Linked DNA regions of Cricetulus griseus. The protein of the gene in region 2 interacts with the protein of the main gene of each other region in a pairwise test. Links are inferred from orthologs where the notes say so. Each region holds a gene or a part of one and is shown on either strand. Other genes may lie near its edges.

Evidence for each region.
Region 1: the proteins of Mipol1 (region 2) and Fam161a interact in binary tests that used the Homo sapiens proteins (3 or more experiments, as listed by UniProt). The two-hybrid records come from large-scale screens. The link is inferred for Cricetulus griseus from reciprocal best matches to the Homo sapiens genes MIPOL1 and FAM161A.
Region 3: the proteins of Mipol1 (region 2) and Utp25 interact in binary tests that used the Homo sapiens proteins (3 or more experiments, as listed by UniProt). The link is inferred for Cricetulus griseus from reciprocal best matches to the Homo sapiens genes MIPOL1 and UTP25.
Region 4: the proteins of Mipol1 (region 2) and Ttc12 interact in binary tests that used the Homo sapiens proteins (3 or more experiments, as listed by UniProt). The two-hybrid records come from large-scale screens. The link is inferred for Cricetulus griseus from reciprocal best matches to the Homo sapiens genes MIPOL1 and TTC12.
Region 5: the proteins of Mipol1 (region 2) and Zgpat interact in binary tests that used the Homo sapiens proteins (3 or more experiments, as listed by UniProt). The two-hybrid records come from large-scale screens. The link is inferred for Cricetulus griseus from reciprocal best matches to the Homo sapiens genes MIPOL1 and ZGPAT.
Region 6: the proteins of Mipol1 (region 2) and Cct3 interact in binary tests that used the Homo sapiens proteins (3 or more experiments, as listed by UniProt). The two-hybrid records come from large-scale screens. The link is inferred for Cricetulus griseus from reciprocal best matches to the Homo sapiens genes MIPOL1 and CCT3.

Annotation. Positions count from the first base shown.
Region 1 is NW_023276807.1:83,737,001-83,741,878, forward strand, and holds part of Fam161a (protein FAM161A), read right to left. Parts: intron 2,568-4,878; coding exon 2,413-2,567; intron 1,587-2,412; coding exon 1,463-1,586; 3' UTR 1-1,462. UniProt on the Homo sapiens protein: Involved in ciliogenesis.
Region 2 is NC_048598.1:145,200,253-145,205,902, forward strand, and holds the start of Mipol1 (mirror-image polydactyly gene 1 protein), read right to left. Parts: upstream 3,437-5,650; 5' UTR 3,268-3,436; intron 1-3,267.
Region 3 is NC_048598.1:2,116,309-2,121,186, reverse strand, and holds part of Utp25 (digestive organ expansion factor homolog), read right to left. Parts: intron 3,316-4,878; coding exon 3,072-3,315; 3' UTR 1-3,071. UniProt on the Homo sapiens protein: Component of the ribosomal small subunit processome for the biogenesis of ribosomes, functions in pre-ribosomal RNA (pre-rRNA) processing. Essential for embryonic development in part through the regulation of p53 pathway.
Region 4 is NC_048597.1:161,237,527-161,242,404, reverse strand, and holds part of Ttc12 (tetratricopeptide repeat protein 12), read left to right. Parts: intron 1-57; coding exon of another isoform or gene 58-77; coding exon 78-138; intron 139-585; coding exon 586-774; intron 775-1,862; coding exon 1,863-1,932; intron 1,933-2,859; coding exon 2,860-2,948; intron 2,949-4,878. UniProt on the Homo sapiens protein: Cytoplasmic protein that plays a role in the proper assembly of dynein arm complexes in motile cilia in both respiratory cells and sperm flagella.
Region 5 is NC_048599.1:539,839-545,222, forward strand, and holds the start of Zgpat (zinc finger CCCH-type with G patch domain-containing protein), read right to left. Parts: upstream 3,365-5,384; 5' UTR 3,089-3,364; coding exon 2,508-3,088; intron 1-2,507. Other genes in the region: Arfrp1 (ADP-ribosylation factor-related protein 1), read left to right, coding at 4,042-4,134, 4,423-4,510, 4,699-4,781. UniProt on the Homo sapiens protein: Transcription repressor that specifically binds the 5'-GGAG[GA]A[GA]A-3' consensus sequence. Represses transcription by recruiting the chromatin multiprotein complex NuRD to target promoters.
Region 6 is NW_023276806.1:66,173,016-66,177,636, forward strand, and holds the end of Cct3 (T-complex protein 1 subunit gamma), read right to left. Parts: coding exon 4,477-4,621; intron 2,215-4,476; coding exon 1,969-2,214; intron 1,744-1,968; coding exon 1,612-1,743; intron 1,299-1,611; coding exon 1,194-1,298; 3' UTR 974-1,193; downstream 1-973. UniProt on the Homo sapiens protein: Component of the chaperonin-containing T-complex (TRiC), a molecular chaperone complex that assists the folding of actin, tubulin and other proteins upon ATP hydrolysis.

The DNA.
Region 1 (4,878 bases), on a different chromosome or scaffold from region 2:
GTTTCTAAACCCATTTGTACACACTCGGAAGTAACTGTAACTATAATTGAAAGCCATTCATCCACTCATTCAAATCTGCATTAAGGCGTCTGCCATATGTACAAGCCTGCATTAACAGCTAATGGCATTACAAATGTGACACTTTTCAAATGATGCCACCTCTAAAGGACATAGCAATCTAATAAGAGTGGCAAGTAATTTAACCTGAACCCCAGCTGAGTGCACACCTTGCTAAGCACAGAGAAGTGGCTGGGAGACGCTGTCACCCGCCTTTGTTATTAGTTCTTTGTAAAGCCGATTGTTAGACAGGCGATGTCTTACCCTGTAGCACAATTAAAGATTAGTTTGAATTTTCAAAAAAAAAAATGTGCTTAAAGAGTGAAAGATGACTCAAGATCAAATTAAATCTTAACAGAGACAGTAAGTTTGTAACACAGCATACAAAGGAAGGTACAAGTAAGTTAGCAATAAAGATTAAACTTGAATTACTTTTAGGATTTTCCTTTGGCAAGTTAGGATCACAATTTCAGCATGTTTAGAACAAGGACTTGTATCTTTTAATTAAGATTACCACACAAAATGAGTAGTGGTGGTGCACATCTTTAATCCCAGCTCTCAGGAGAGAGAAGCAGGTGGACCGGTGGTGAGTTCCAGGACAGCCAGGTCTACACAGAGAAACCTTGCCTCAAAAAAACAAAACAAAATAAAACAAAAACAAACAAACAAAAAAAAACAAAAACAACCAAACAAGCAAAAAGATTACCATGCACAAATGCCATAATTACTCTAGATGCAATAATACGTAGGATTTTTAGAGTAGTGTAAAGTATTTTAACACTTTAGCTATCAAAAATAATTTGGGGGATTAGGGATATAGCGCAATGGTAGAATTCATGCAAGTATGTGTGAGCCCTGGATTTAATCTCCACCAAAAAAAAAAAAAAAAAAAAAAAAAAAAAGGTTAAAAAAAAAAGTAGCCATACTATAGATAATTTAGCAGTAAATTTTAAGTGGAAAAATTGTAAATTTCCAAGTACCTATTTTTTCTGTATATTACTTATTTTAAAAATGTTTCAGAGAAAAGTTGAAAATACTTATTAAATTAAAAATAGATCTTCAAAAGCTAATAGTTCTCTCCATACCAAACTCTTTTCCCTACCAAATATAAGTGTACATTATCAGAACTAATCCATTTATGACAGCTGTGGTTCTCCAACCCCCAAAACACTTTGAAAATACAAAATAATCATTATCATAAACAGCACACATAGGGTAAAGCTGTACTTTAGCAATCAGATCACCCATTATGTGGATTCAGCCTTTTCCAACATGATGTTCCGGTCCAGCAGCCCTGCATGTGTGAGAGTTGTCCCCACACATGCTCTGGTCACCACAGTGCAGGGCTGCAGTCCTGAGGCTGCACACAGAGAGGCTCAGTGAGAGGAAACCTTGCAATTCAGGTTCATTCTTCAGAATTTTCTTCTCTACCTTCTTTAACCTCTTCAGTGTTTTCCTTGCAAGAATCCTGGCTGTTGGCATCAATAAAATAGTTTTCTTCCTCATTCTCTCCTTCTTCTTCATAAGAGCTAAAGGAAGAAATGTTATTAATCTGTCAATGTACATGCACATGGCTCTGTGTGACCATGCCACCATGTAGGTGGTGCTCCTCCAGGCCACACGCTCCGACAGCTACTAGGAGAACTATGGAAGCACCCGTGGGGAATTAAGTATTCCCTGACAACCAATTTATCTTGAAACTTGACTCCTATTTCTTTCTTTCTTTGGGTTTTGGAGACAGGCTTTCTTTGTGTAGCCCTGGCTGACCTGGAATTGGCTTTGTAGACCAGGCTGGCCTCAAACTCACAGAGATCCACCTGCCTCTGCCTCCCCAGTGCTGAGATTAAAGGTCTGTGCCACTGACTGGTGAGTCCTCATATTTCAATCTAAAGCAGCTCCCCCAACTATAACCATATACATAGTACATACATATATACACACACATATGTGTATACATACATATATATATATATATATATATCAGAAATATAAGCTTGATGTAAGAACAAAATGTTTTTTGTTCTTTTTTTTTTTTCTTTTTTTTTTTTTTTTTTTTTTTTTTTTTGGTTTTTCAAGACAGGGTTTCTCTGTGGCTTTGGAGGCTGTCCTGGAACTAGCTCTTGTAGACCAGGCTGGTCTCGAACTCACAGAGATCCGCCTGCCTCTGCCTCCCAAGTGTTGGGATTAAAGGCGTGCGCCACCACCGCCCGGCAAATGTTTTATCACTGTGTAACATTTATAGTGTGTCAAACATGGGGAAACACTAGAATATTTCACAGGTTCACATGCACTCCCTCAAGTAAATGGTTTTAAAACAACAGGAAAGCGCAGAGCATGCTTCCCTGCAGCTGCTACCTTTCTTTATCCGATGTGCGGCTTCTCAGCTCTTCTCTGGTGAAGCTCTCAGGCGCCTTTCCACCTTGGCCTTTCTCTGAAACAAACTCCTCAGACAGTCCTAGAGCTTCTAGAGTGTTAGAATAGCGCTTTTCTGCTGCCATCCTTGCATTTCTCTATAGGAGACACAAACCTTTTCAGATGAGCGCAAACACTGCAAATTTCTATTAAGATGTATGGATTTAAAGGCACCACTGAAAACTATGATGACAGACTCAGCGACTGAAATATGCTTCTTCTATGACTGACATGTTTAGGCATGGACCAGGAGAGGACAGGTACAAGAATGCTCAAGGCAGTATTGTCTGTAATAACTGAGCATTGTGAGCATCCCAAAGCCTGGCAACATTTGGAGGGGTGAGTAAGCTATACTACAGTCACAAATAGAAAAATGAATAAACCAGTCAGTCAGCTGCCACAACATGGCATGGCAGATAACTTACAAATGTGACACTGAGCAAAAGGAACCCTCGGAAGAACACAAAAGAATGTATTTAACATACTAGATATATTTACAGAAACAGGAAAAACTGAAAACAAAGCAACGCTGATCCCAGGTTAGAGGTGATGACCCCTAGAGGAGGTGGCTGCATAAAGATACCTCCAGAAAAGATCAATAAGGAAAGAGAGTTATGGGCCACACGCGATGTGGTCCCAGGATGCAGGAGGCATAGGCTGGAAGAGGCTTAACACAATTTCAAGGCTAGCCTGGCCTACACAATGAGTTCCAGACCAGCCAGCCAGGATATACAGCAAGACCTATCTAAAAAGCAAGCAAACAAAGGTCACATGTCTGCTTCAGTTTGGAATGTAGGACAGCATGGTAGTGGCTGTGTGGCTCTTTTATGCATCCAGTGTAGTTCTGTGTTTATGTGCCACGATTTCAGACCATCAGATATAAAATCATCAATACTGCTATCTTTACTGGATGGAAGAAAAAAAGGGATAGTTAAAGTTGAGTTCAAATATCTTGAATGTCACTTCTTGGAGGTCCACAGGAATTTCAATGATCCTTCCACAGTTGCAGCTAATTGAGGGCTAGGATGCAGTTCATTGGTAGAGAAGCATTTATATAGACATGCTTGGGGCTCTAGGTTAATTCCCTAGTTCCAAGAAAAACCAAACCAATGAAAAAAAAAACCCAAACCTAAAAAAACAAAAGCCTTCAATCCTAGCGCAAATGGCCTGGCCACCAAGCCAGGGAGGGCCACACAGTAAGATCCTGTCTGGAAAAGCAAGGCACAGTTGTCACAAGTTGAAAGTCAGTCCTGAGCCCATAGACTTCAAGCAGCTAGCTACTTGGTGACAAGGTGCTCAGTGTTGGTTTGAGCCCAGTCTTAGCTCCTCTGAGCAGATCTTACAGGACATCTGTGGCCAGGAATTCCCTTTGCACCTGCACCTAAAGCAAGGTTCTTGAGGAACAGACCAGTTCTGGGGAACAAAAGCACCACATATTCGGAATGTTACAGTGCCCATCAACGCCCAAGAAAACAGGAAACCACAGTTGCTCAATCTAGAATTCTGTAGGAGAAGCCAAAATAGCAAAGATCAATTGTGAGGGATATTATCATGCCTTCCAAATACTCTGGGAGACTGAAAAAGACACATAGTTTCAAACTTTTGTTAATTTCACCACTGTCAGTGACAATAGTTTTTAAACAGTGCAAGTGTGACAGAGTCTCACTGTGTAGTACTGGCTTTTCTGGTCCTATGTAGACCAGGCTAGCTTCAAACTCAGAGATTGATCTGCCTCAGTGCCCACCCCCCAAGTGCTAGGATTAAAGGAATGTACCACGGTATTTGACTAACCAAATCCACAAGCTCTAGGTTCACTGAAAACCTTTGTCTCAAAATTCACCTCTGGTGTACACATACGAACACTCGCACGCACGCACAAGTGTAAATGTGCCCAGAGGCTGTAGAACACCAACAAGTCTTGGTGAACTAAAAACCAAGCGAGAAATGAGAACTGTGCTCCAGAGACTACGGAAGTGAACAAAGCAAGCTGAAACAACTCCGATGCACTGAGGACACCATGGGTTAGGCATGGATACAGTGCTAGTCTAATCCACAGGAAGTCTGGGATCTAATCCCAACACCATGTAAGCCAGGAGCGGTAACACAATCTGCAATCTCAGCACCCAGAAGGCGGCAGTGGATCAGAAGTCCAAGGTTGTCCTTGGCTTCATAGTGAGTATGAGGCCAGTCTCGGCTACATGAGACCTGCCTCAAAATAAGACTGACTTTCAACTTGGGGCAACTCTACCTTATTTTTTTTTAAGACAAGATCTTGCTATAAATACCACCCCCCCCAAAGTAAAGATAACAGTATTGATGATTTTATCTTTGATGGTCTGATACCATGGCATATAAAGACTTAGAACTATCTGGATGGTGGTGGCGCATGCCTTTGACCTCAGCACTAGG
Region 2 (5,650 bases):
AATAGCATTAGTAAGACACATATAAAACAATCCATCCACTGATGAATCTATATTAATGTACAGACATGCTTTGTAAATGGCCATACACACAAATTAGTAACAAGTTTTAATGATTATTCATTTGCTCAAAAATGTCCATATGTTTTATATTATTTATCTCTATATACATTATATTTCACAATAAAGTTTTTTTAAGTACTATCAATTTCTTATTTTTAAAAATTCATTAGCAAAATCCTTAAGATAAAACTACAAAGAAACCCTGTGTAATGGTACATGCCTTTGATCCCAGCACTTGGAAAGCACAGGCAGGAGGAGGTCTCTGAGTTCAAGGCCAGCCTGATCTACAGAGCAACTTGCAAGACAGTCAAGGACTAAATAGAGACTGTCAAAAAAAGAAATCAAAGAAGAGATATTGTCATGTTTCAGAAAGAAACAATAACATTCAAGTTATAGACTGCAAGGAAATGAACCCTGTAAAATTTATAAATCCAAGCATAATGAAATCAATCTCAATGTGTATATACAAGTCATCTAATGCAAAACTAAACTTACAAGAATATACCACCTACCTGCATATATTCAAAATAGAAAAAATTCAAAAGAATACTTTCAATTTTAGCAAAATCAGAACCAGGGTTGCTCTAATTAACTACCAAAAAACAGTTCTATGGCAAATTTGTCCCATTAGTCACCCATTTGAGTGAAGCAACAAATGAGCCACCCCTTTAAAGTAGTAATTTATGTTGCCAGATTAGAGCTAAAAAAACAAAACAATAACAAAAACCATAACCCAAGAAAAAAATGGGGTATATAGCTATGATTAAATTTAGTATCTCAGGACATAAAATTAATTATTCCCAAACATATTAAAGTAAACGAGTTAAGTGAAGCGGCCCATAGCTGTAGTCTCAGCTACTTGGTAGGCTAAGGCAGGAAGATGGTTTGAAGCCAAGAGTTCAGGGCCAGCAAGAGCAACAACAACAAAACACTCCAGGCATGTAGTGCACATCTGTAACACCAGCATACAACTCTCCAGAGTCAGAAACATCAGACTCAAAACCTAAGGACATCCTCAACTACTTAGCTAGTTTGAGGCCTGCCTAGAAGACAGGAGGCCCTGTTTAAATTTTTTTTTTTAAAGAGAGAGAGAGAGAACTAAAATGTAGTCCTGTTCTTTAAATGCTCACAAAGAGCCATTTCTTTCACTAATTTTTTTCTGAATTTAGTAAGTAGTGCATTTGTTACTTATTGTTGGCTAACAAACAAATATCCCATTAGAATTTATTTTAAAAGTGTGTATATAAACTCAATGTATTGTGTCAGAAGGCATGGCCTATCTTAAATCTGTGTTTGCTTAACAATCAAAGAAGTTTTCATTATCACACTGCTTGACTATCCCTAAATGTTGCCTCAACATACTTCTAATATGTATTAAATTCACCACCTAAAAACATAAGGTGTCCGCTGTATATGCTAACTGAGATAATAGACAGGGAAAAGCTGTACTGGTACTGAGCAGTCATTTTTTAATTCAGCAGGGGTTGGCAAACTACAGCCCACAGCACAAATCCAGTCCAAGTACTCAGCCAAAATAATTAACCAGGGGGCCATTAGGCTGTAATGGTTTCAGTCCCTTGGATTCCTATGTAAGTAAACTCAAATCCAATGATTACTATTAGAAAGAGGGCACCAGTGGGTTTTTCTGGGATGTAAATACTATTATGCTGTTTTAAAAAAAAAATGTAACCTTCTATTTTATGTATGTTGGTATTTTGACTACATGTATGTCTTGGCACGGCAAGCATACACAGTGCATACAAGCATGCTAAGAGGGCAGAAGGCATCAGATTTCTTGGGACTACAGTTATAGATGCTTGGTGCACCATGTAGATGCTGGGAATCAAGCCAGGGCCTGCGCTCTTAACCCGATGATCGATTTCCTCTGTCCCTTATCATGTTCTTTTTTTGATCTTGGTACTAGATAAAAGAGTATACAGCATGAAAATACAATGAGTTTTACACATGACTTAAACATTTTAAAGTTATCACACAAAGATTTTATTTCATACTCTGTCTTTGAAGAAAAAAATGTGTCTATCTCCTATTCATATTTTTTTGCCATCCTTACTTTTATCTAATGAAACAATTCATATTATCTTACTTTTAAAAAGCAAGCCTAATTTTACTGGCATACTAACATAGGATGTAATATAGTTTTGTTTCTGAAAGTGGGTGGGGGGCTTTCCACCACCCAAGGAACCTCCCAAAGGAACTCAAGACTGGAACCTGGAAGCAGGAACTGAAGCACAGACCAGGGAGTAATCCTGCTTACTGGCTTGCTCTCCATGGTTTGCATTGCTTCCTTTCTTATACAACTGAGGACCATCTGCCCAAAGGCCATACCACCCAAAGTGATCTGGGCCCTCCCAAACCAATCAATAATCAAATTAATCAAGAAAATGTCCACAGACATGCCTATAGAACAATCTGATGGAGGCAATTTCTGGCAAATACGCACAGGATGCCAGCCTATGGAATGATTACTATGCAACTGTTGTTTTGGGTGAGATCCTTTGCAGACAGAACACACTTTGCAAAGCGAGTTACTTGTGAAACTCGTAGGTTAAAGCAATCCTTCCCTAGCTCTGTCCAGGACCATTGGGAACTGACTCACATAAAAATGCTCGAAGGAGTCCACCCAAAGACCTGTTCTTATAGAAAAGGTGTTTTCTTTTTTTATCACCCTCGTCTATCCTGCGATATTTGAAGTTTACCCAGGTCCTTCCATAGAGCTTCAAATACTTCACCAATACCATTGGGTGGTATCATCCTCCAGTTAGAAAAGCCGGCTCTTGAAACCAGAGTTTGCTTCCATTCGCATCCTACTACAGCCGGCTCCGCGCGTGTTGAGCAACACTGGAGTTTTGCTCGCACTTTCAAGGGTGAGAACTATAAATCGCTTCAGTCCTCCAGCGGGGACTGAAACCCGAACTCTTGCCAAGATTTAGCAGGGATAAAAACCCACACTTTTGAATCCATGTTCAGCCTCTTAACTTTTAAGGCTGTGCTGAAACCCGAGGAGAAGGAGCACTGTGTCACCTGAGAACACCGCGACGCGGGCCCTCGAGGGTGGCCCGCACGCTCCGGGCCAACCCCGCGCAGCCCTCCTGCCTCTCCGGGGACCGCGGCCGGAAGTCCCGAGCCGGCTACAGCCCACCCTGAGCTTCCCTCCCCTCCCCCAACCCTCCGGGTCCACGCCGGTACCTGAGGAGCCGCGGGACCCCTCGGCGCCCACTCCGCTCACGCAGTTTCTCCGGCCTGGGGCGCTGCCACCGAGGGAGCCAATCGCCGCGCGCCCGCTACGCGCGCGCCCCTGAGTGACCGAAGGGGGCGGGGCGGGGCGGACAAGGCCGGGCGCGCCGCCGGGCCCACGGGGACGAGGCTGCGGCTGCGGCCGCGGCGCGCACCGGGCATGCGCGAGCCCGCTGGCGATCTTGGGGCGGGGCTTCCGGCGAGCTGGGGCCGCGGGGAGTGCTGAGGGGAGCTGGGGAATAGTGTGGCCCCAGGTCGTTCCATGGGAGTAGAGGACTACGGTCCAGACGAACTCTTGTGCGGCGAGAGGAGGGGAAACGTGGGGTGCGCGGGCGATCTTCACTGGGCAGAAACTGCGGTTCCCTTCAGTGGATGTGGTTTGCGGGACGCGAGGAAGGGTGCTGCGACGGGAGCCCGAGGGAGACCTCCAAGCGGGCCAAAGAACGCCTCAGACAAGCTTTAAAGCTCTTGGCAGTTTCTGTTTTCACTTCAGGACTACAGAGAGTGTATGCTAGACTATGTGCATGCTCAAAATGCTCAATCTCGGAATTTAAAAGAAAAACCTGAACGCAGAGGATATGGTTTATTGTGGACTCTAGGGGTAACGTGGAATTTTATCTGAACTGATATAACTGGTAATGAACCAAGTATTTCCCGAGAGAGAGAGAGAGAGAGAGAGAGAGAGAGAGAGAGAGAGAGAGAGAGAGAGAGAGAGAGAGAGAGAGAGAGAGAGAAACACCTGCCTCCCACCTTAGCCAAGTTACCTAGTTACTGGAACTACAGGCCACTTAACACTGGCACTTTAGTATTGAGCTTTAAAGTCACTTTAATTTACATTACTTAGTACTCTGAGTATTTACTATGTGCCAAGTACTCTTTTGTACTCTTGGATGCTGGAATAATAATATTAGCACTAATGTTATCAATAATAGTAATTTCTGCGCACGCACACACACACACCCACACCCACACCCACACACACACACACACAGAGAGAGAGAGAGAGAGAGAGAGAATAAAGTCATGATGACCACCAAAGTCATGATGGACAAAGATAGTGAAAGGAACTTACTAGTAAGTGCCAAAAGGGTGTGAAGTTTGGAAAATGGATGAGAGAACTTAGTTAAATTATTTGGAGTAAATAGAGTATAATATTAAAAAACAGTTTCATTTTTTATGTAACCAATGACTAGTTCTCTGAAGTGGCTTGTGACATTCGACCTTAAAGTGAATTTTTAATTTTATTTATTTATTGCTTTACATTACTCAGAGTTGAATCAGATTTTAATGGACATAAAGTATAATTAAAAATATGGTTATGGTGGTGCACCTCTGTAATCCTAAACCTTTGAAGAATGATCATAAATTTGAGGACAGCCTGGGATACATAGCAAATACACAGTTCCCACCACCACCACCCCCAAAAAAGTGAAACAAACTTCTTAATCACAAGCCCCTGTAAAATGAGAAATCAAATTATATACTTCCAGTATACAGTAGTGTTCCAAAGAGAATAAGATAGCAAGGGAAAATCATGCCAAAGCAACACTGAAATTCGGGACAGCAGACACAAAATCTCGAAGCTCTACATTCAATGGGTGAAATTTTCTGGGCTCCCTATGGGTCCCAGCTCTACTGCCTATAACACATGTGGCCTCTATTATGAGCTGACTTCCTTCCATGCCTGGAGTTTTCCTCATTGGATCTCCCACTGTTCTAGCGTCATGCATGGTACTAGAAACCTGCCCAGCTTCCCAGAGCTACTGAGGCCATGGATCTAAGAGGAGAACCTTCTACTTCCATTTCACTGAATCAGCATGATTCCTAACTACATTCTAAATCCTTATCCTTATACCCACAGTAAAGTGCAGATTCCACCCCTCATCAAAAAAAGGGGGGGGGGGGCTTCTCTTTGCACCGGACTTTTTATTTTAACGCAAGCTCTCACTGTGTAGTCCAGGCTGGACTTAAACACTTTCCTTCTGCCTCAGCCTTCCAGGAGGTAAGTGTCCAGGAATGCACCACCATGCTATGCTCTAGGCTTTTGGAAGCAATTTTAAGCTTACAGAAACTTGAACAGATTGTACAGAGTTCTCATGATGCCTTCTTTCCTTAAGCTTCATGTATTATTAAGATGTTTCTTACTATGATGTATTTGTTGTACCTGATGAAAATGACTGATACATTATATAGTGGCTTGAGTAAGAATGGACCCTGTAGGCTCATATATTTGAATGCTTGGTCATTAGAGAGTGGCACTGCTTGAGAGGGATTAGGAGATGAGGCCTTGCTGGAGGAAGAGTATCGTTAGGGGTGGGCTTTGGGGTTTCAAAAG
Region 3 (4,878 bases), about 140 Mb from region 2:
AGCCTTCCTGCCACATGTGGGCTGAGGCCATGTGCCCGAATGGTCATAGCCAAATGCGCAAAGGCTGTCAGGGCACCCCTGAACTGTGGGCCTCTGGGAGAGCAGGCTAGCAGGTTGCTAGGGGACAGCCAGGTTGAGCTTGTGGCATTCAGAGCCTCCACAGTACAGGGCGCCATCCACTTCTGAGACTGAGTTCTGTTCTCTTACATGGTCCTAAGTCTCATAGGAATGGCAGCAGTGTGGCCAGAGGCATAGGGGACATTAAACACAAAGGAGGGGGCGGGGCAGGAAGGCTAGAGGCCTTGGACCCTGGGGGATGTACCCTGAAAAGCATGGCTTCCAAAGTATTCTTTCCGGAAACGCCCAGCACCTCACACTCATCTACAGCTCACACATCCAGACTCTTGGGATGGCTGTAAAGAACGTCCCAGTCCTGCTGTCTTTCCCTAGGTCTTTTGCCATCTTGAGACCCTGGGCACATCAAACCTAAACTTGGGCTGTCTGAAGACAGATCCCAGGAAGGCCCAGCAGAAGGCAGTCAGCAAGCATAGGCGACACCTCTCAGCATCCTGTCTCCTCACTCCACAAGGGCACAATCAGGGATCAAAGCTTCTGGAACCACCTTGGTCCTCTGAGGTATGTATGAGTCACCAGCGACATGCACCCCCCATCCTGCCTGGGCCATCTGCACTCAATTACCAGCCCTCTGGAAGCTGGCAGAGGGCTGATTCTCTGCTGCAGGCACTCTGTGATTAGCTTGTTCTTGTTTCCAATGCTGCACATAGTGCAGCCAGCTGTGAGCAGCGGTCACGATTCAAAGCCTTTTCCCTCAAAAAGAAAAGTGCCACAGTAGCTGTGACCGCTGTGTGGAGTCTAAAAGTCTCACTTTCTGGGTAAGTCCCTGCCTTCCTGGGCCTGGGATCACTCCAGACTCTGGGCTGCAAAGAAGCCAGCCTAAGAACTATAAGACCTCCCTACTAGGAGCAGGAGACATCTCTAGCCAGGAGGCTGAGGCAGGAGGATCACAAATTTGAGGATATCATGGGCAAGAGTGAGCAGACAACACGTGATGTGCACGGTAGGTTCTAGTGTGCATCACGAGGCTGCTGTCTGAGGGCCACGCCCCCTTGCTGTAATGTCATCTCTTACATTAAACTCACCAACTCTCTGCAGGCCATGCACTCTTAGGCAGTTGCAATTCGTCCTGTGAGCTGTTCACAAGAACTGTACTGTGTGGAAACAGACCTGAGGAATCATGGTTTTCAACAAAGCAACAAACTCATTTCCCTTCTCATAATAAATGGTGAATGCGGCAAACAGTGGCACACAGATGCCAATAACCACAGGGCAGATCTGTGCATCCAGAAGTGTGTGTTTGCTTGGGATTAGTTGGCTTTTATCTATCATTTATATATCCTGGAATTTAGAATTCAATCTGGAATAACTGGCTTTGCTTACCATGCTGAGAAGTCAAAATGCCTATTTTTGCATAACAGCTGCCCCAAATTATATCACTTAAATCTTTTTTTAAAAAACTCTCTCTGGTCCTCAGGCACTTAAAGCCCAAGTGCTTTTATCTGCCAAGACACTACTGCTTTAAGAAATGTACTTTATGTATGAGTATAAGAGAATATATACCAATTGTGGCTTGTCTCCAAGAACAAGGGGGAATCACTGAGAAAGGGGGTCAGAAAGAACCCTGCAGCATACACTGTAAATAGAAATACTAATTTAAACTCAGTTTCTAACGTGTGGGTAAGAAGTAATATTCAGTGTTTGTGTGCTCACATATGCACCCACATACCCACATTCAGCAAACATTCCCAAGCTCTGATGGCAGAGCCTGGGGCTGGCAGGAAGGGTCAGCCAGCTAACCCAGCACTCAGCTGCAGAGCTGCTGGGTCTGTTAATCCTCACTAAAGAGGCAGAGGCAGTAGGGTTATGAGTTGAGGCCAGCCTGGGCTACTTGTCAAAGCCAAGGCTGCCCTAAGTTTCATAGCAAGATCCTTTCTCAAAAATCGAAAGGCTGGGACTTGTTTGATTCCCAAGCACTGCAAATCAATCAACCAACCAACCAATCAATCAAAACCACAAGACAAACAAAACTCTCAACCAACACTCTTGATGACAACAAACAGCCAAACTTGTAGTGGCACTTGGGAGGTCAAGGAAGGAAGATTTAAGACTTCAAGGTCAGGTCTTCCTGAGCAATCTGGAAGGGGGCCAGAACAAAGGCTAGGACAAGTGGTAAGGCTGCAGCGGAGTCAGACAGTCTGCTCACTTGAAGCCATGCTGAGAACAAGACTCGCTCACACGAGCACACCCATGAGGTCGGCAGTCAACTTCCCAGCAACTCAGACTCGGTCTCACAACTCTGTCACCTGAAGCAATGGTCGTCCCTGATGGTTCTGTTTGCAATAGTGTTTGTTTTTATAACAAAGTCTAAAATAATGGTGTTTAATGTTTCAAAGCATGATTTTCTTTTCACTTTCATCTGCTACACGACTCAAAAACCAGCTAAAGAGACAGTGGTGCCGAGAACAAGCATCAACTGTACAACTAAATGTTGCTTTATAACTTGACTGTAAATGTGTTAGCCATTAAAACACTGTGAGGAATTTAAAAAGATCCGTGAATGAATGTACTCTTTTAGGTTAGAGTGTTTATAATTTTTTTTTTTTTTAGTTTGGCTGCAAAAGCAAAGTTCCACAAGACATGTGCCAAGTCGTCTCCAACTATCTTGGCAAACCTCACAAACAACACAACCAATGCTTTAAGAAAATGGATAGGCCAGCCAGAGAATCTTCCCCGTGTAAAAAGTTATGAAGAGTAACTGGAGAACTTACAGCTTACAGGTTTGACAAGCACAGGCTTCATTTCTGAATGTGACAGCCCGTGCAGATTGCTCTAGGCTTTGGCAGCTGTGGTCACTGACACTGGTTGTAATGTACTTTCCAGGGGACTGCCTGTGTCTGTGCAGAGTTTGCTCCTAGGGAAGTGATGAGAATCAGGTCTGCGTGGCCTATCGACCATATTGACCAATGACGCCGCCTGTCCTGCTCCTCACTTTCTCATCTCTCTCCGGTGATGAAAAGGTGGACGTTCTTTGGAGACTGCAGCATCTGTGCTGCCCGCTCGACACCGACCACAGAGGCAAGCCTCTGGGCATCGTATTTGGAATAGAGCACAGTGCAGGTCCATGTGGCCTCCTCTCCTCTCCTCGCGGCACTCAGCATATTGCAGACCTCGCTGTAGAAGTGAGGGTAGGTTGGCAGTTCATAGAATATCAGGTTCCTGATGCCTTTTATTGTGTACCTGTGAGAGAGGGAGGGGCATGAAGCAGCCAGCGGAGCTGTGCTGCTAATGGCTCCAAAGGGAGATGGCTAGATGCCTGGGGTGAAAATAAGAGCACAAACCAAGCACAGGAAGCTACCCTAGAGCCAAAGGGTTTTTGTGATAACGTTACTGAATTCCTAATGCTGAGTTTAAGATAATGGTAACAAAAATTTGTATTTTTTGGGAAAAAAATATATATATATATATATATTGAGACAGGGTTTCACTATGTAGCTCTTTTGTTTATTATTTCAAGACAAGGTCTGCCCTGGCTGTCCTGGAACTCGCTAGTAGATCAGGCTGGCCTCAAACTTGTAGAGAACCACCTGCCTGTGCCAGTACTAAAGACTGCAACGTGATGCCTGGCCCAACCTTTAATAGTTATTATTTATTTTCATGGGACAGAATATCACTTTGTAACCCTGGTTGGCCTGGAATTTGTGGTGTAGGCCAGGTGGCTTCATCTTTCTTTTGTTTGTTTGTTTTTTGAGACAGGGTTTCTCTATGTACCTTTGTAAACCAGGTTGGCCTCAAACTCAGAGATCTGCCTGCTTCTGCCTCCCAAGTATTGGGATTAAAGGCGTGTGCCACCACCACCCAGCCAGGGTGGCCTCATCTTAGAGAAATGTACCTGCCTTCCAAGTGCTGGTGTTAGTCACAATATCTGACCTTTTACAAACAATTTTTAGACTACATTGTCTTTCTCTCTCTCTCATGTGCTTTGTGGCATGTATGTAGAGGTCAGCAAACAACTTGAGTGTTGATCTCTTTCTCCCACGTGGGCCTTGGGGATTGAACTGAAGTGATCAGAGTTGGTGAAGCAGCCTTTACTTCCTGAGCCATCTCACTGGCCCAACTGATTCTCTTTAATCTTGACCCCCAGCACACAGGATCTCACGGAACTAGGCTGGCCTCAAACTCATTATGTAGCTGAGGCTGGCCTGGAACTCTCTCACCTGTACTTCCTAAGTGCAACCATCACAAAGTGCCAGCTAATCTCAGTGTTTGTACTCATCATGGTTTTCTTTTAACCTCTATCTCCACCTTCTGAACATGGAATAAATAGCCTCAGAAATGGGAAAACCAAAGAAAGCAAGAGAAGCATGGTCACATTCTTTGTTTCAATCTGCTTGTAAGAGAGACTAGGAACTTCCTAGAGACATCAAGACGAGCCTGTTCAGAGGCAGGGGATATGACTCTCATATCCTGAGCCCCCTTCGCTGTCCTCCCCGATTGTGAATGAACCAAGCCTTCAAACAAGTCTAACCCTGACAGGACCTAAAGCCTAGGACATCCATGTGTCTGCTTTCCCTGCCAACTGATAAAGACTATGGCGGAGCTGCACGCCAAAGCTGCTTCTTTGTGGTGCAAACACCAAATTCATCACTGCTAGAACCTGGCCTCACACCACCGCAGGGAGGAGCCGCCTGCCCAGCAGCCATTCTGAATGCCACGCAGTCTATATCTAGTTTCCAACTTGTCTATGGCTTAGACTCTTCCCCACTGCAGCAATACGCAGTAAAGATGCAATGACCCACCCAG
Region 4 (4,878 bases), on a different chromosome or scaffold from region 2:
CCTGGGATGCCCCACATCTGGCCTATAATCACAGTTACCCCCTGACCACCTTTCAAGGTCTTGTTTCTGTTTCTCAGTCTAGAGAGTGTTATCAGAAGATCGGAGAGATAAACCCCAAGCTTCAGACACAGGTGAAAGGTGAGACTGTCCCTGCTGCTACAATCCCTCTAAATCCAGTTTTCCTTTGCACTCCACTGGGGTGCCCTCCCTACTTTCTCTGCCCTGGTCAAGACCACAGCCTTGCCTTTCCTGCACTGCCCAGCCCTCCCTATGCTCATCCTCCATCTGTTTCCATATTTAGACTGCTCCATGTCTTTTCTTGCATGCCATCCTCCCATAGACTTGCAGACTGCCCCAAATTTCCAGGATGTCTTAAGACGTGGTTTAGATTTTACTTTGCTCCTAAACGACTTCTTCCTGAAGAAGAGTCTGAATTATTTTCTTGCTTTATACTTCCCATCCTTGCAAGGAAGAAAGGAAGGAATGTGTAAGGGCAGGGAGATGTGGAAGGTGGGTGGCTTTTGTATGGTTCTTTCCATTGTTAGGCTGTTGCTTCATTTCGCTTTTTCCTGCTTGTTTTGCTAGAATCCCTAAATCAAGTAACTCTTCAAGAAAAGGCAGATCTACAAGAGAAGGAAGCTCGAGAGTCCCTGGATTCAGGAAAGAACACAGCAATGACAACTAAAAATCTCCTGGAGACCCTCTCCAAGCCTGACCAGACACCCTTGTTCTATGCAGGAGGCATTGAGATCCTGACAGAAATGATGACGGACTGTAAGTCAGACATGTGTGTGGTCTCATGAGCATTGTCCGTGTGAAGTCACGGGTTCAGGAATCTGGCTCCATGGGACAAAGATCCCCTCCCTTCTATAGATATCAAATGAAAATCTACACTAATATAGGTGCCCAAGAGGGTATGGAAGAAATATACTTCCCCTGTACCCCATCCTCTTCAGAGAATGCATTAACTCATGCGATGAACACCACACACATGGCATAAGATAGCACACATGGTGTACAACAGCTCCATGTGTGCTTATATTACATGTACCACACACACACACACACACACACACACACACACACACACACACACACACACACACGGCATGTGTTTATTTACATTTATGCAAATATATACATTAAGTAAATCCGTGTACTTACTCTATAAACTTCCCTCACATGTGTTCCACACATCTTGCTTCCATCCCCACATCCACTCTAACATCCTAGACCTTGCACACACCCTACACCACGTAGAAACAGAAGAAATGTCTATGATAAACTATAGGGATCACCCCAGCTGCACTTTACAGTGTCTTGGAACATGAAAATAGCTTCGGAGGAAATATCTGTCACTCTGTTATCGGTTCCTGTAAACACTGATGGCAGAACTTAAAACAACTTTGGTTGCTCAGTGACAGGATGTCATTTGTACAAATGGATGGAGGCTCTGGTCCCCCATTAGTATGGAACAGAGGTAGCCCAGATGGCCCCGTTGGCCGCTTTCTTAGAAAATGTAAGTTCTTCTCCAGAGCCCAATAATAGCTTCAATATAAACATGGAGAATCAGATGGCTCTCCAATACTTTCCAGGGATCAAACAGCTCCTGTAAGCTCTCGAAAGCTTGCAGAGGAATGAACTGAGATACTGACATTTTCTAAGCAGTCTCTCTGATGGTGACATATCCAGTGGCTGGTAGCAATTGCATTTCTCAGAGTGTGATGATCTAGCTAGATTTTTGATGATCTTGCCCTTTCATACTAGGATCTGGTGATCAGCTAGATGCCAACCTGTGGGTTAGGATCCTGACTCAGTTCTTGTGTTTTTTTTTTTTGTTTTGTTTTGTTTTTTTTTTTCAGGCACAGAACGGACCTTGTTCAGAACATATGGTGGATTCAGCACCATCAGTGACCACGAGGTCATAAGAAAGTAAGGATATTTGGAAAGAGCCAGATGTCTACAAGAAAAGACAGAGAGTTGTGTGTGTGTGAAAGCAGTTACTGGCCACAGAGGGAAGGCCTTTGGACTCTGTGTCCTTGCTCCTCAGTCATCAGGGTAACCCCTGAAAGAGCGTATGTGAACCCCCTTGAGATCAGAGCCTCTGGCCTTTTGCATCATGTTGCAGCTGACAGAGTGAGCCTGTCCCACAGGCCATCTCCATATGTCCCAGACAGACAAACACCACTCCTACTGGTTCCCCACCAGCATTTTTAAATTTTAGTTTGTTCTTTTTCTCATTTTACTGGCCATTTAAAAAAGTAGAAGCAACTGGGTCCTGGCTGGCTCCATTTAGAATTTTATCTAAAACAAGGCCTACATGGAAGGGGGTGGTGTGCTGTGTTTATTTCATATTGTGCTTGGATAATCCAGGAGGTTTGGGATCCTGACATGGGTTGGATGTTTGCATGTCCGCTCATCACGATGGCCCTTGGCTGTCCACCCTCTTCTGTGTACCCACCTCTGTGTTTTTACTTTGCATTTGATCTGGAATTTTGGAATCAGTGATGGGTAGCTCCTTAGTGGTGGTTACCTATGGATAAGACATATCTTCCTTCCTTCCTTCCTTTCTCTCTTTCCTTCTTTCCTTTTCTTTCTTTTCTTTCTTTTGAGAGATCTCACTGTGTATCCCTGACTGGCCACTCTCTATGTAGACCACCCTGGCTTTGAACTCACAGAGACCCACCTGCCTCTGCCTAATGGGTGGTGGAATTAAAGGTGTGTACCACCGTGTCCAGTTTGGATATGCATTTTAAAATTTCTCTTAACTCTTCATTTGCTGAGTCTGGGGGTGGAACCCAGTGCAAAGAAAACAAGATTGATCCCCAGATTCTGCACTGCTCAACCTGTCTTCTCCAGGTGCCTCTTCTCAGCAGGGATGGATGCAGTTGAAGAGGTTCTCTGTGTGGCTGTTTTGAAGCTCTGGCAAGCAGTGTGTAGTGACAATGGTAAGCCTGGTTCTTCACTGTCCATTGTCAGTTGTGTTCCCCAGAAGAAAGAGCTGCATGGCTCAGCATGGTAGTTCTCCTGAGTGGTCAGGCATGGAAGGACTGGTGTCTGAATTCCATGCCTTTTCCTCCCCAAAAGTATGTGGAAAAAAAAAAAAAAAAAAAAAAAAAAAAAAAAAAAAAAAAAAAAAAAAAGCAACTTCAAGTTCTATATTGAATTCATTCCCCAGCCCAAACCTTATCCTCCTCTTCCTGTTCCCCCTCCTCCTATTTCTTCTCCTCTTCCTATTCATCTTTCTCCTTCTTCTCATTGTCCTCCCTTGCCTCAGGACACGGGGGTAGAGAGTGGGCAAGATCACTGTCAGCATAATGAGTGCTCCCCCCACATACCCATGCCTCTCCCTTCCTCTCCCTTCTCTGCAGACTCATGACTTCTGCTCATGTCATGAGCAATGGAGACAGTTTCCTTTTCTGTCTGTTTGAAAATACTTTGGTTTTGCTGACCATTGCACCCCTGGCAGATGACTAGCAGCCAGCATCTTTGGACACTGATTAGCGTCTGTTACTGAAATAGAAAAGTGCCAGAGGGATTTTGTTTTGTCAATTCTTACCTTTCTTCATACAGCATCCTCCAGAGATCATTAAGTTCTTGCACAATCTTTCTTAGTCACCTTTATGGCTTCTGTGTGTATCAAGATTTTAAGTTTTCCCTGTCATCTCAAAGAAATGTATTTCACAGGAATATGTTTGCTCTTGGGACAGGAAACACTAGAAATGAGGACAATCACAGGGTGGGGCATGCAAGGAGTATGAGGAAGTCATCTCCTTTCCTTTAGTAGGCTGAAGGACTGAGAACTTGAAGTAGGCTGTAGGAAACAGGCCTATCAGGAAGCTCAGTTACTGGAAGCGAGCAATCGGTACAGCCAAGCATCTCAGTTTGTCTCAGAAACCAGATTAACAACAACAGAAAAACAAAAATAGGTGTGGTGGCATGCCAGTAATGTGGAGACAGGTAGATCCCCAGGGCTTGAAGGACAGCCACCCTGGTCTATTTGATGATTTCCAGGTCAGTAAGTCCCTAATTAAAAAAAAAAGGAGGAGGAGGAGGAGGAGGAGGAGGAGGAGGAAGACAAGGGGAAGGAGAAGAAAAGTAGAGCCTTGAATGATATCTGAGGATGACATGTGAGGTGTCCTCTGGCTTCCATCCATATGCACACACACATACATACACACACACACACGTACATACACACACACACACACACATACACACACACACACACACACACACACACACACACACACACACACGTACATACACACACAAACATCCTTGCTCAGGGCTGTGTCTGCCAAGATTCCTAAAGGAAGGTAACAAAGGAAGAACTTGGTGGCTGTGTTTTCTCTATGAATCAAGCATAATAACCCAGATATTTTTGTTTCTGTGAGCCTTGGAATTATGCTGTTTTAATATCTGAAAAATATTGTCACCCACATATTCTGTGTTTCCGGCTCATGAAATCTTGACATGTCAATAAACACAAACCCATTTTTTTTAAAGAAGCAGAGAATGTGCAAAAGAAGAAACATGAGACTACATCAGTGGCATATTGTTGGGTCAGAGAAAGAAGTCACTTCCAGCACTTCCAGTGGCATGCCTTCTCCAACAAGGTCACACCTCCTAATCCTTCCCAAACAGTTCTACCAACTGGGGACCAAGCGTTCAAACATGTGAACCTGTGAGGACCACTTGCATTCAAACCACCACATCTTGGAAATCATTATTTGCAAAAGCCAGGCAGCCAAAACCTTTAACACGGGAACCTTTGAGTATATTTCAGATTCAAACCATGACACCATCCCTCCAGTTTGCTCTGCTGTGTTTCATTACTTATTCTGGTACTTCTGCTGTGTCCTGTCTGCTCCCACA
Region 5 (5,384 bases), on a different chromosome or scaffold from region 2:
GAGGCAGAAATGATCTCTGAGTTTGAGGCCAGGTCTACAAAGTGAGTTCCTGGACATCAGGGCTACAGAGAAACTCTGGCTCAAAAAACAAAAACAAAACAACAAAAAGCCAAACACCAACAACTCCCACCCCCTACCCCCCCACACACAAAAAAAGTTGTTTTGTCTGTTGGAGAGAGATTGTTTGGGGCTTAAATAAAAGGCAAAAAAAAAAAAAAAATCTACCTGAGTTGATGCTTGTTAGGGAATCTGGGGTGGCTGGCAAATAACAGCTGTGATCTGAGTTTGACAGCTACAGTTCACTTTATAACAGTTCTCTATACTATAGTTCCTATATCTGAATTTATTTTACAACACATAGTAAATAAGTCCACCTGTGCCACTTCAGGGTAGGTCCAACGTCTGCATTTTATTCCCACTTGCTAGGGACACTTCTCACTTGTTTTGTAGAAGAGAGGAGGAAGATGGAGATTAGTATTAGCAAATGTGGGAAAATAATCAACTAACTATTGAGATGCTGTTGCCCAAATACAAGTGTCTACAGGGAAGATTATACACTGGAAAGACATACACCAAAGTTATGGTAATGCAGGTGGAGTTAGTTAAATTTATTTTTAAGAATCTAAAGCAAGCTGGGCATTGGTGGTGCACGCCTTTAATCCCAGCACTCAGGAGGCAGAGGCAGGTGGATCTCTGTGAGCTCGAGGTCAGCCTGGTCTCTAGAGCAAGTGCCAGGATAGGCTCCAAAGCTACATAGAGAAACCCTGTCTCGAAAAACAAAAACAAAACAAAACAAAACAAAAAAAATCTAAAGCAAATTCAAGAAAACAACTCATTCATCCTGGATGGTTGTAAAGATGGTGTTAGATGTTTTATTGTCTTTTAGTTCTGCCCTAAAATTGATACCACAAGCAGCTCCTTGTGATGAAGTGGTCTCACGGCCAGCAACATTGTACCGATCACTTAGTGCTTTGGTGTCTGTCTCTCCATCTATAAAGTGGGGTGGGGACTGACAAATGGTTTGACAAGTAAAGGTACCTTCTGCCAAGCTTGATGACCTGAATTCAATCCCCAGGGCCCACATGGTTGAAGGAGCCTACACTCAAAAGCTGTCTTTTGACCTACACATGAGCACCATGGCACATGCATATATACATACAAAATAAAATAAAACAAAAATTATATAAAATGGGATGAGTTCAGGGCCTACCCATAGGTTCGTGCACAGAGAAGTGAGCATATGTCAGTCAGAGAAAGTACTTAGAGGTATTAAATCTCTCATCACAGGGCTTCCCACAAAAAGACTATGGCAGATAAAGCAGCCACTGGTTATAGCAACATGTGTATTCTTGGAGAAAACCCACTGAGCACACTGATCATTTATGCACCTATAGGCATGAGAAGGAAAGAGAGTGAGCAAGGAACATGTCAAGTCTACTAGGATCTAAAAAAGATGTGCAGAGCCAAGCTAGGTAGCACATGCTTGTAATCCTGGCCCTAGGGAGGTAGAAGCAGAAAGATGAAGAATTTAAAGTCATCCTTGGCTATATATGGATTTCAAGGCCAGCTTAAAGCTACATGAGATCCCATGTTAAAGAAAAAGTAAAGAAATAAAATGTGCAGAGTACAGATGTAACCATGGAAGTAAGAGCTTAAAGTGATGTAAGAGAACCACAAACCAAGGAATATAGGTGGTCTCTGGAGGTTGGAGAGATGGCTCAGTGGTTAAGAGTATGTGTAATGTTTTTGAGGAAGACCCAAGTAGTTCACTACCAGTAGTCCTGAAGCTCCTGCTTCAGGAGATCCAACACCTTCTTTTAGCCTCCTCATGCACCTGTACTCAAGTACACATGTATTCACAAACACACACACATACACACAATTAAAAAGAAAAGTAAGTATATAGAGCTAGAGAAATGGCTTGGTGGTTGAGAGCATACTGCTCTTGCAGAGGACCTGAGTTTGTTTTCCAGGATCTATGTTGGGTGGCTCATAAGCACCTGGAACTCCAGCTGTAGAACATGCAACACCTTCTGGCACCTGTACTCATGTTCACATACCCACACAAATACACACAAAAATAAATCTTAGCTAGAAGTGGTGACACACGCCTTTAGTCCCAAGCACCTGGGAGGCAGAGCAGGTAGATCTCTGAGTTCAAGGCCAGACTGATCTACAGAGCGAGCTCCAGGACAGACAGGGCTACACAGTGAAACTCTGTATCCAAAAAAAGAGGGAGGGAGGGTGGGAGGTGGAGAGAGAGAGAGAGAGAGAGAGAGAGAGAGAGAGAGAGAGAGAGAGAGAGAGAGAGAGAGAGAGAATGAATATAATGTGTTTACTTATGTGTTTACTTAACAGGGAATGTTCCTGTTAAAGCCTGTCAGCCACCTGAAGCTCCCCCTTCTCTTTTATCAATTCTGCGGGGTGGAGAACAAGTTGTGAAGGCGGCAGGCCACAGCAGTGGTCCTGCTCGAGTGACCCTTATTGCTAGTAGCAGAGGGCTTTACCTGCAGTTCTCCTTGAAGCGGCATTTTCCCTCCAGGAAGAACGGGCAGGGCTTCAGGGACTTGTGGGTAGGGTACAGGTAGAGTACGCGAACGCATGCCGAACCATCCTCTGCCTCTTCAGTGCCCACAACCATTGCGTTGTGATACTCTAGCGTGCCCCAAGCGCTGTGGTAAGGGGCATTCACTTTAGCACCGCTCAGCTCCTCCTGATCTGGATCCTCCTCGTCTTCCTCCTGTGCAGGGGAGGTGGGTCCAGGCCGCACCACGCTCCCAGGGACAGTCTCCGAGTCATCCACGGGGGCGACGGGTGCCTCCCCTTCCTCCGCCACAGCCTTCTGGAAAGCCAAGTACTCAGCGTCCTCCTCTGCCTGGTGCTCCAGGTCCACTGTAGCCAGCAGCTTGCTCTTCCTGACCGACAACAGGCTGGCCTCGGTGAGCTCTATCAGTTCCTTCAGATCGCCCTGCAGCTGGCGCAGGTCCGCAAGCTCGGAAGCGTCCAGGCCAGCACCAAGAGCCAGCTCTACCTGCCCGAGCTGGGCCCGGTAGGTCTGCAGGGCCGTCTCCAGGTTGTCCTCGTCCATCGCTACACCGCGCAGGCTAGTTTCGGAACCGCTAAAGCAGACGAGACCTGAGGGAAGAGCAGTCGGCAGAGCTCAGGACAACGCCGCCCCCTCCCCGGCCGCTGGAGAGGCTGAGGAGGACCTCGGCGCTGCCAAGGGAACCGCAAAGTATCCCACCGCGTCCTCTGCGGTCCGCAGCCCCGCCTCCCGCCGGTGCTCGCAGCCTACAAGGGCTTCCGGCCTCGCCAGCAGAGCCCTCGCGCTAGCCTTCCGCCCGCCGCGGGCACTTCCGCCCGAGAGCTGATGCTGCCGGAAGTGCCCGCGTTCGGGAGCCTCCGGGATGGGGCGCGCGGGGGCCGTCGGGATGCGGCTCCGCCCTCTCGTACTCAGTCGGCCGGTCGGTGTCCCGACAGGCACCGCGCGGGGTCAACGCGAGGTCGGTGGGGTTTGCGACGCGACGACGGCGTCTGCGGCTCCGAGATCTGAGCAGGTGCAGGTGGGTCTCCGCCGGACTGAGGGGCCGGGGTTCCAGAATCCTGGGGTAGGGGGCAGGGAAGCGGCTTCGGCAGCTGGTTCTTTGGCTCCGTGGGCCCGGCAGCGGGGGGGGATCCAAAGGCGGCCCACTCAGAAGCTGACTCTCTGGTAGCTACGACAGTCGAAGTTCCCAGTGCTGAGTTGAGGGTCCGGAAAAGAAGCCTTAGGAGGGCGGAGCAGGGTAGGCCGCCATGGGTTTTTCAGGACTGATGGTGTATTCACAAAGATGACCCGCAGTGGGAGTAGTGGCCCAGGTTTAGCGGGTGGTCGGTGGTGGAGGCAGGGTCCGGAATCGGGGGCTGGGGAGAGGGGGGCAAGGAGTCGCGAGCCACGAGGCTCCACATTTGAAAACTAGCAGGACCGACGGACCACTGATGAAGCGGACAGGAGGCCGATAGCCCTGGTACACACCTTGACATTTCTCAGGGTGCCAGGGCAGGATGTACACGCTGCTTTCGGGGCTGTACAAGTACATGTTCCAGAAGGATGAATACTGCATCCTGATCCTAGGCCTGGACAATGCCGGGAAGACAGTAGGTGCCTGTTCTCTCACCAATTCCCTTTCCCTGCCTTATGTTCTTTGCAAATCTAATCCCTACCCAAGACTACAGGTTAGTTGCCACCAGCCTCCCGAAGAGCATTCAACAGGCAGAGGTTCGTGTGCATGTGTGTATGGGTGTGAAGGCCTGAAGTTGCCCAAACCATGTGGGTGTGAAAGCCTGAATTTGCCCAAAGCATATGGATGTGGAGGGATATTTAGAAAAGACACCAGGAAACTGCTTTAGCTGCCACTACCTAACCACCTTTCTTTCTTTCCTCAGACCTTCTTGGAACAATCAAAAACACGGTTTAACAAGAACTACAAAGGGATGAGTCTATCCAAAATCACCACTACCGTGGGCCTAAACAGTAAGGGGGATATGAGCTTGGGTCCCTTAGAGATGCAAGCCCGTACGTAGCCCAGCTGGCCAGGGGCCAGATCCCTCTCTGTGCATGCCTGCTGGGATTGGTACCAGAATGGTTTTCCTCATTCCAGGAAGAGCTGGGACTTTGTAAAGAGTAAGGTCAGGAGCTAGCTCATTCTATCCTCTCCCCAGTTGGCACTGTGGACGTGGGGAAGGCTCGTCTCATGTTCTGGGACTTAGGTGGACAAGAAGAACTACAGTCTTTGTGGGACAAGGTGAGACACACTATCTGCTCTGTACTGTATTTCTCTAGATAGCTCCTCTTAACCTCTTCTTCAATGAGAGTTCCATTTGTCTACATTTACCCTGAAGATAGATTTTTCTCTGTTTTTTTCTTTTTTTAATTACTTTTTATTGGGGGAGGGAGGCATGTCACAGCATGCAGGTGGGAGTAAGAGGACAGCTTTCTAGAATCTATTTTCTCACCTTTGCATGGGCTCCAGAGATCAAACTCAGATTGTCGGGCTTAAACAGCAAGCATCCTTACCTGCTGAATCATCTCATTGGCCCTGTCTAAAGGTTTTCTCTTCAATCTTACCCCAGGGTTCCAGGTTGCTTTCTGTCTCACTCTGGCAAAACCCAGGGCTAGAATCACCACACACTTGAGGCACCAGAGAAGTTCCCACAGGGAGTACCTAACCTTTTTCCAATGAGACCAGTTTCAGCCCCAAAGAAAGCAGCATTGTTCACCAGGGTAGTCAGTGCACAGCACTGACTGGGGAGTTCTAAGAGGACTATAACCTATCCTCTTACAGGCAGGCAGGAATGGCAGAGATCACACATAGGGAGTGCACAAGACCTTTGTTTCCTGGTGAGCC
Region 6 (4,621 bases), on a different chromosome or scaffold from region 2:
CCAAAGAATCCTGTGGTAGCAAGTCTTTCTCTGTACCACTAGCTCCCAAATAAAGACAAGGAAACTTATTATGAAAGCTTGGCCTTACTTTAGGCTTGTCCCACTCCTGTAATTTAAATTAACCCATTCATTTTAATCTACATTCTGTTGTGTGGCTCATTTCTCCATGTTGCTCATATTGCTTTTTCTGCATTTGGCTCATGATCCAGTCTTCTTCTGAGACCTCTGTCCCCAGAAGCACTAACCCCACCACCAATTTCTTCCTGCCTAGCTATTGGCCCATCCAGCTCTTCATTAAACTAATCAGTGATACATCTTCACAGTGTTAAGGAATATTCCACAACATTCTGTCTCACCTTCCTGAATGCTGGGACTTTTAAATTAGTGTGCTGTCTGTGAATGCAGGTGGACCTGGAGGTCAATGGACGACTTCTGGGAACCACTTCTCTCCTTCCACCCACTATGGTAATCTTACTGGCTAAGCAGATTTTGTCTCAGAGACAAGTGCAGCACAGGCTGGTCTCATACTTGCTCTGTAGCTGTGATGGTTAGTGTGGATAATCAACCTTACAGGATTTGGAATGAACTGGGAGGCAAGCCTCAAGGCACATATGCTTAGGAAAACACACTCAGCCAGGCAGTGGTGGCTCATGTTTTTGATCCCAGCACTTGAGAGACACAGGTAGGCAGATTTGTGAGTTCAAGGCCAGTCTGGTTTACAGCGTGAGTTCCAGGACACCCAGGTCTGTTACACAGAGAAACCCTGTCTCAAAAAAACCCAAGCAACATCTCCCCACCCCACAAAAAAAAAAAAAAAAAAAAAAAAAAAGAAAGAAAGAAAAGAAAAAAAGTGATCCCAATTTGTCTCCTTTGCTCCCAGTAAGGTTTTCTTCTGCCTCCTCTTGCATTGCTAGGAGGTAGAGATGTGCCTCAAGATTGAAAAAAAAAAACAAAAAAACACATGACAACTGTCTCAAATGACTTAGATTTAATCATTGGAAGCAAACTAAATGGAAAGCTTACAATAGAGAAGAGATACATGTCAGTGCTTTTTGCAAACTGAGATGGGACAGACTGGGGCTGCCCCTCAACTTGATCCTTTGCAAACAAAGATGTCCACAGTGTTCCTGGAACTCTGGCTCAGGAAAGGGGAGACTGCTGGTTCTGCACGTTGAAGTCACCTTGCTCACCACTCACTCCTGGCCACCATCTGGAGCACTGCTTTGCCGGCTCTGGTCATCACCTTTCTTCTTGTGGCCAGAGACAATGTCATCAATCCGCAGAAGTAGAACTGCAGTCTAAGAGAAAAACAGCCCAAAGAGGTCAGCAGAGAAAGGAAAGACACTGTTTTCTTCTAGCAGTAGCTCCTCCCGCAGAATTACCATTTTATCTGGAATCTTCCCTTTCAGAGTCTTGAATGAACAAAGCAGTCCTCCCTAAGCAAGGGATGTAGCTTGTGCCTTGTATACTGTTTTAGGTAAACTAAAGGTAAGTAGGGAAATGGAATTCCTTGGGAGATCTTTGGGGCCTTTAATGGCCTCTCCCTTTCAGACAAAGCACAGTAGCCGTGTTGTCAGGACAGACAGCATCCGCACACTTAGGGTGTCTTACCTCCACTGCTGTTTTGTATGTTTGTAGCTTCACAGCCAACGGCTCCCATATTCCCAGCTCTTTCATGTCCACCAAGGTACCAGTCTCACCATTCACACCCCAGGTCTCACAATTCTCCTGGGTGTGCTTGGCCTGCAGGTGAACAAACATGCAAGGAAAGTACAATGAAGCAAGCCAGTTTCAGACCAGCAAACAAGGCAAAGACTCAAAGATGGCCCCCACACAACCCACACCCACGTTGAGTACAAACACATGTGCTTATAAGCATACACAGAGTGGCAGAAAACAAAAACATCTCCTTATGCCAAACACAGCTTGCCTTACCTTGGCAAAGCATGAACATAGAAAAGAACTCACCCGAAGGGAGGTAAGCAGACGAATGGTACTCGCCCCACAGTTCTGGATCAAGGTACGAGGGATGACCTCTAAAGCTTGGGCCACAGCTCTATATGGCCATTGTTCCACACCAGTCATGGCCTTAGATTTTTCTGTCAAGGCATGGGCCACAGCCATCTCCGAGGCTCCACCACCAGGCACCAACTGAGGGTCCAGGAGAACGTTTCGGCACACTTGCATGGCATCCTGGAGGTTGCGTTCTACTTCCTAGGGGAAGCAGAGAAATGGTATAGTTGGTTCAATGAGTCATGGAGAAACCAAGAGGCATCAAACAATTTCCCGAGTGACAAGTTGTTTTTTATTTTTTGAGACAGGGTTTCTCTGTGCAGTTTTGGAGACTGTCCTGGCACCTGCCGTGTCGATCAGGCTGGCCTTGAACTCACAGATCTGTCTGCTTCTGCCTCCTGAGTGTTGGGATTAATGGTGTGCGCCACCACTGCCCAGCTGACAAGTTTTTAGAGAGCCACAGAGGAAGGCAACTAGGAAAATCCTTGTGACTTCTATTGGGGTCAGGTGGTGGTGGTGGTGGACGCCTTTAATTCCAGCACTTAGGAGGCAGACAGATCTGTGAGTTCGAGGCCAGCCTGGTCTACAAAGTTACACAGAGAAACCCTGTCACTAAAACCCAAAAAAGGGTAAGAGAAAGAGAAGAAGTTTTGTTCTCATGAGTCATAACTCAGAAATGTAAATGACAGAAGAGGGCCTGCAAGAGGATTAGGGGATGGAACATCTCAACTATGAGGTTGGGTTTTTATGTACTGAACCAGAGTGACAACAAATTGTATCCCATCCCCCTCTCCCTAGTTTTGTCCTTTAGGAGATTCAACGGTGCACTGCAAACTGTCTAGTGCTTACCAGCTATGTATCTTGGGAAAGCCACTCCTCCTGGGAGTAGGCATGGGTTGTAATTTCAACTTAATAATTAAAGGTGGGGAGGGGGCTACAGACATGCCTTTGTGGCTCACGGGTCTTGCCAACAAGCCTGACCACCTAAGTTTGATTCCTGGGCCCATATGGTAGATAGAGGGAGAGAACACCCACAAATTGTCCTCTACTTCTATACTAGTGCCATGAAATATGCCCAAGTATATAACACAGAAGAAAGGGAGAGAAGAGCACTAATGCTGAGTTTGTCTCACTTCTGTTAATAGTACTATGGAGGCCAAGGCAGGGTTGCCACAAGTATGAGTCCACACTGAGCTACAAAAGGAGATCCTGACATGCTCGTGCTCTCGTTTCTCTCTCCTCCCCCTCCCATCCTTCTCTCAAGCACTAGGAATGTAGCTCAGTTGGTAGAATGCTAGTTTACCAGGTATAAAGCACCCTTAGTATGATATAAACAATGTGGCAAAACAGGCCTATAATCCTTTCACCAAAAGGAAAGCTGGAGGGCCAGAAAGTCAGGCATCCTTAGCTACACAGCAAGTTCAAGGCCAGCTAAGAGACAACCCCTAGTGGTAAGGGTAGGAATTTATGGTCACAGATCCATGAAGTAGCAATTTTTTGTTTGCTGACAGGGCCTATGTTGCCCTTGCTATCATAGAATTCAGTAAGTAGACCTTGAACAAACCCACAGAGATCCACATGTTTCTGTTTCCTGAGTGCTGTAATGAAAGGAACGTATCACTACAGCCATTTGTCATTAATTTTGTTCTTTTATTTCTAAGATTTGCTTATTTTTTGTGTGTGTCCATATGAGTTTATCCGTTTGGTGCCCTTGGAAGCCAGACAACACCCTGTTGCTCTCTAAGTGGTCTCAACCCCCGAGCCTCTCTCCAGCTCATTTTGTCTTATTTGAGACAGGTTCTCACTACACAATCTGGTCTACAGAGTTCCAGGATAGCTAGAGCTGTTATACAGAGAAGCCCTTCTTGAAAAATAAAACACAAAACAAAAACAAACAAAAAAAGATGAGGCTGGCCTCATACTCTGTATGTAGAAGGAGCGAGTCATCCTTCTGATCCGCCACCATGCCTGGTTTATGAGGTGCTAGGGCCTGAACTGTACCTACCTAATGTTCTCTTAACCTCACCATCAAGGGAGTGGTTCTGCACCTTCACACATTCACAGACATGTAGCCACAGGCCAAGGATCATGGATTGAAATAAAAAACAAAACAAAACAAAACAAAAACAAAAAACAAAAAACTGCTAAAACATTTTTTCTTTCGTTCTTAAGATTTATTTATTATGTATACAGTATTCTGTCTGCATTTATCCCTGCAGGCCAGAAGAGGGCACCAGATCTCATTACAGATGGTTGTGAGCCACCATGTGGTTGCTGGGAATTGAACCCAGGTCCTCTGGAAGAGCAGTTAGTGCTCTTAACCTCTGAGGCATCTCTCCAGCCCCCAACATTTTTTTTTTCTTTTAAAGTTGACATATTAAGCTTGCTACTGTGACGAAAAGCTCACAATACGAGTATGGAACAATGTCCTTTCCTTGCTCACACACACCAAGGCTCACTCACCGACAGAATCTCCTTGCTGGCTCCTCTAAGAAGAATGGTGCAGGCCTTTGGGTCTTTGCACTCAGTGATGAAAGTGAAGTACTCATCTCCAATCTTCTTGATTTCCAATAGGCCTGCACCTGTACCAACATCATCTTCTCTCAGC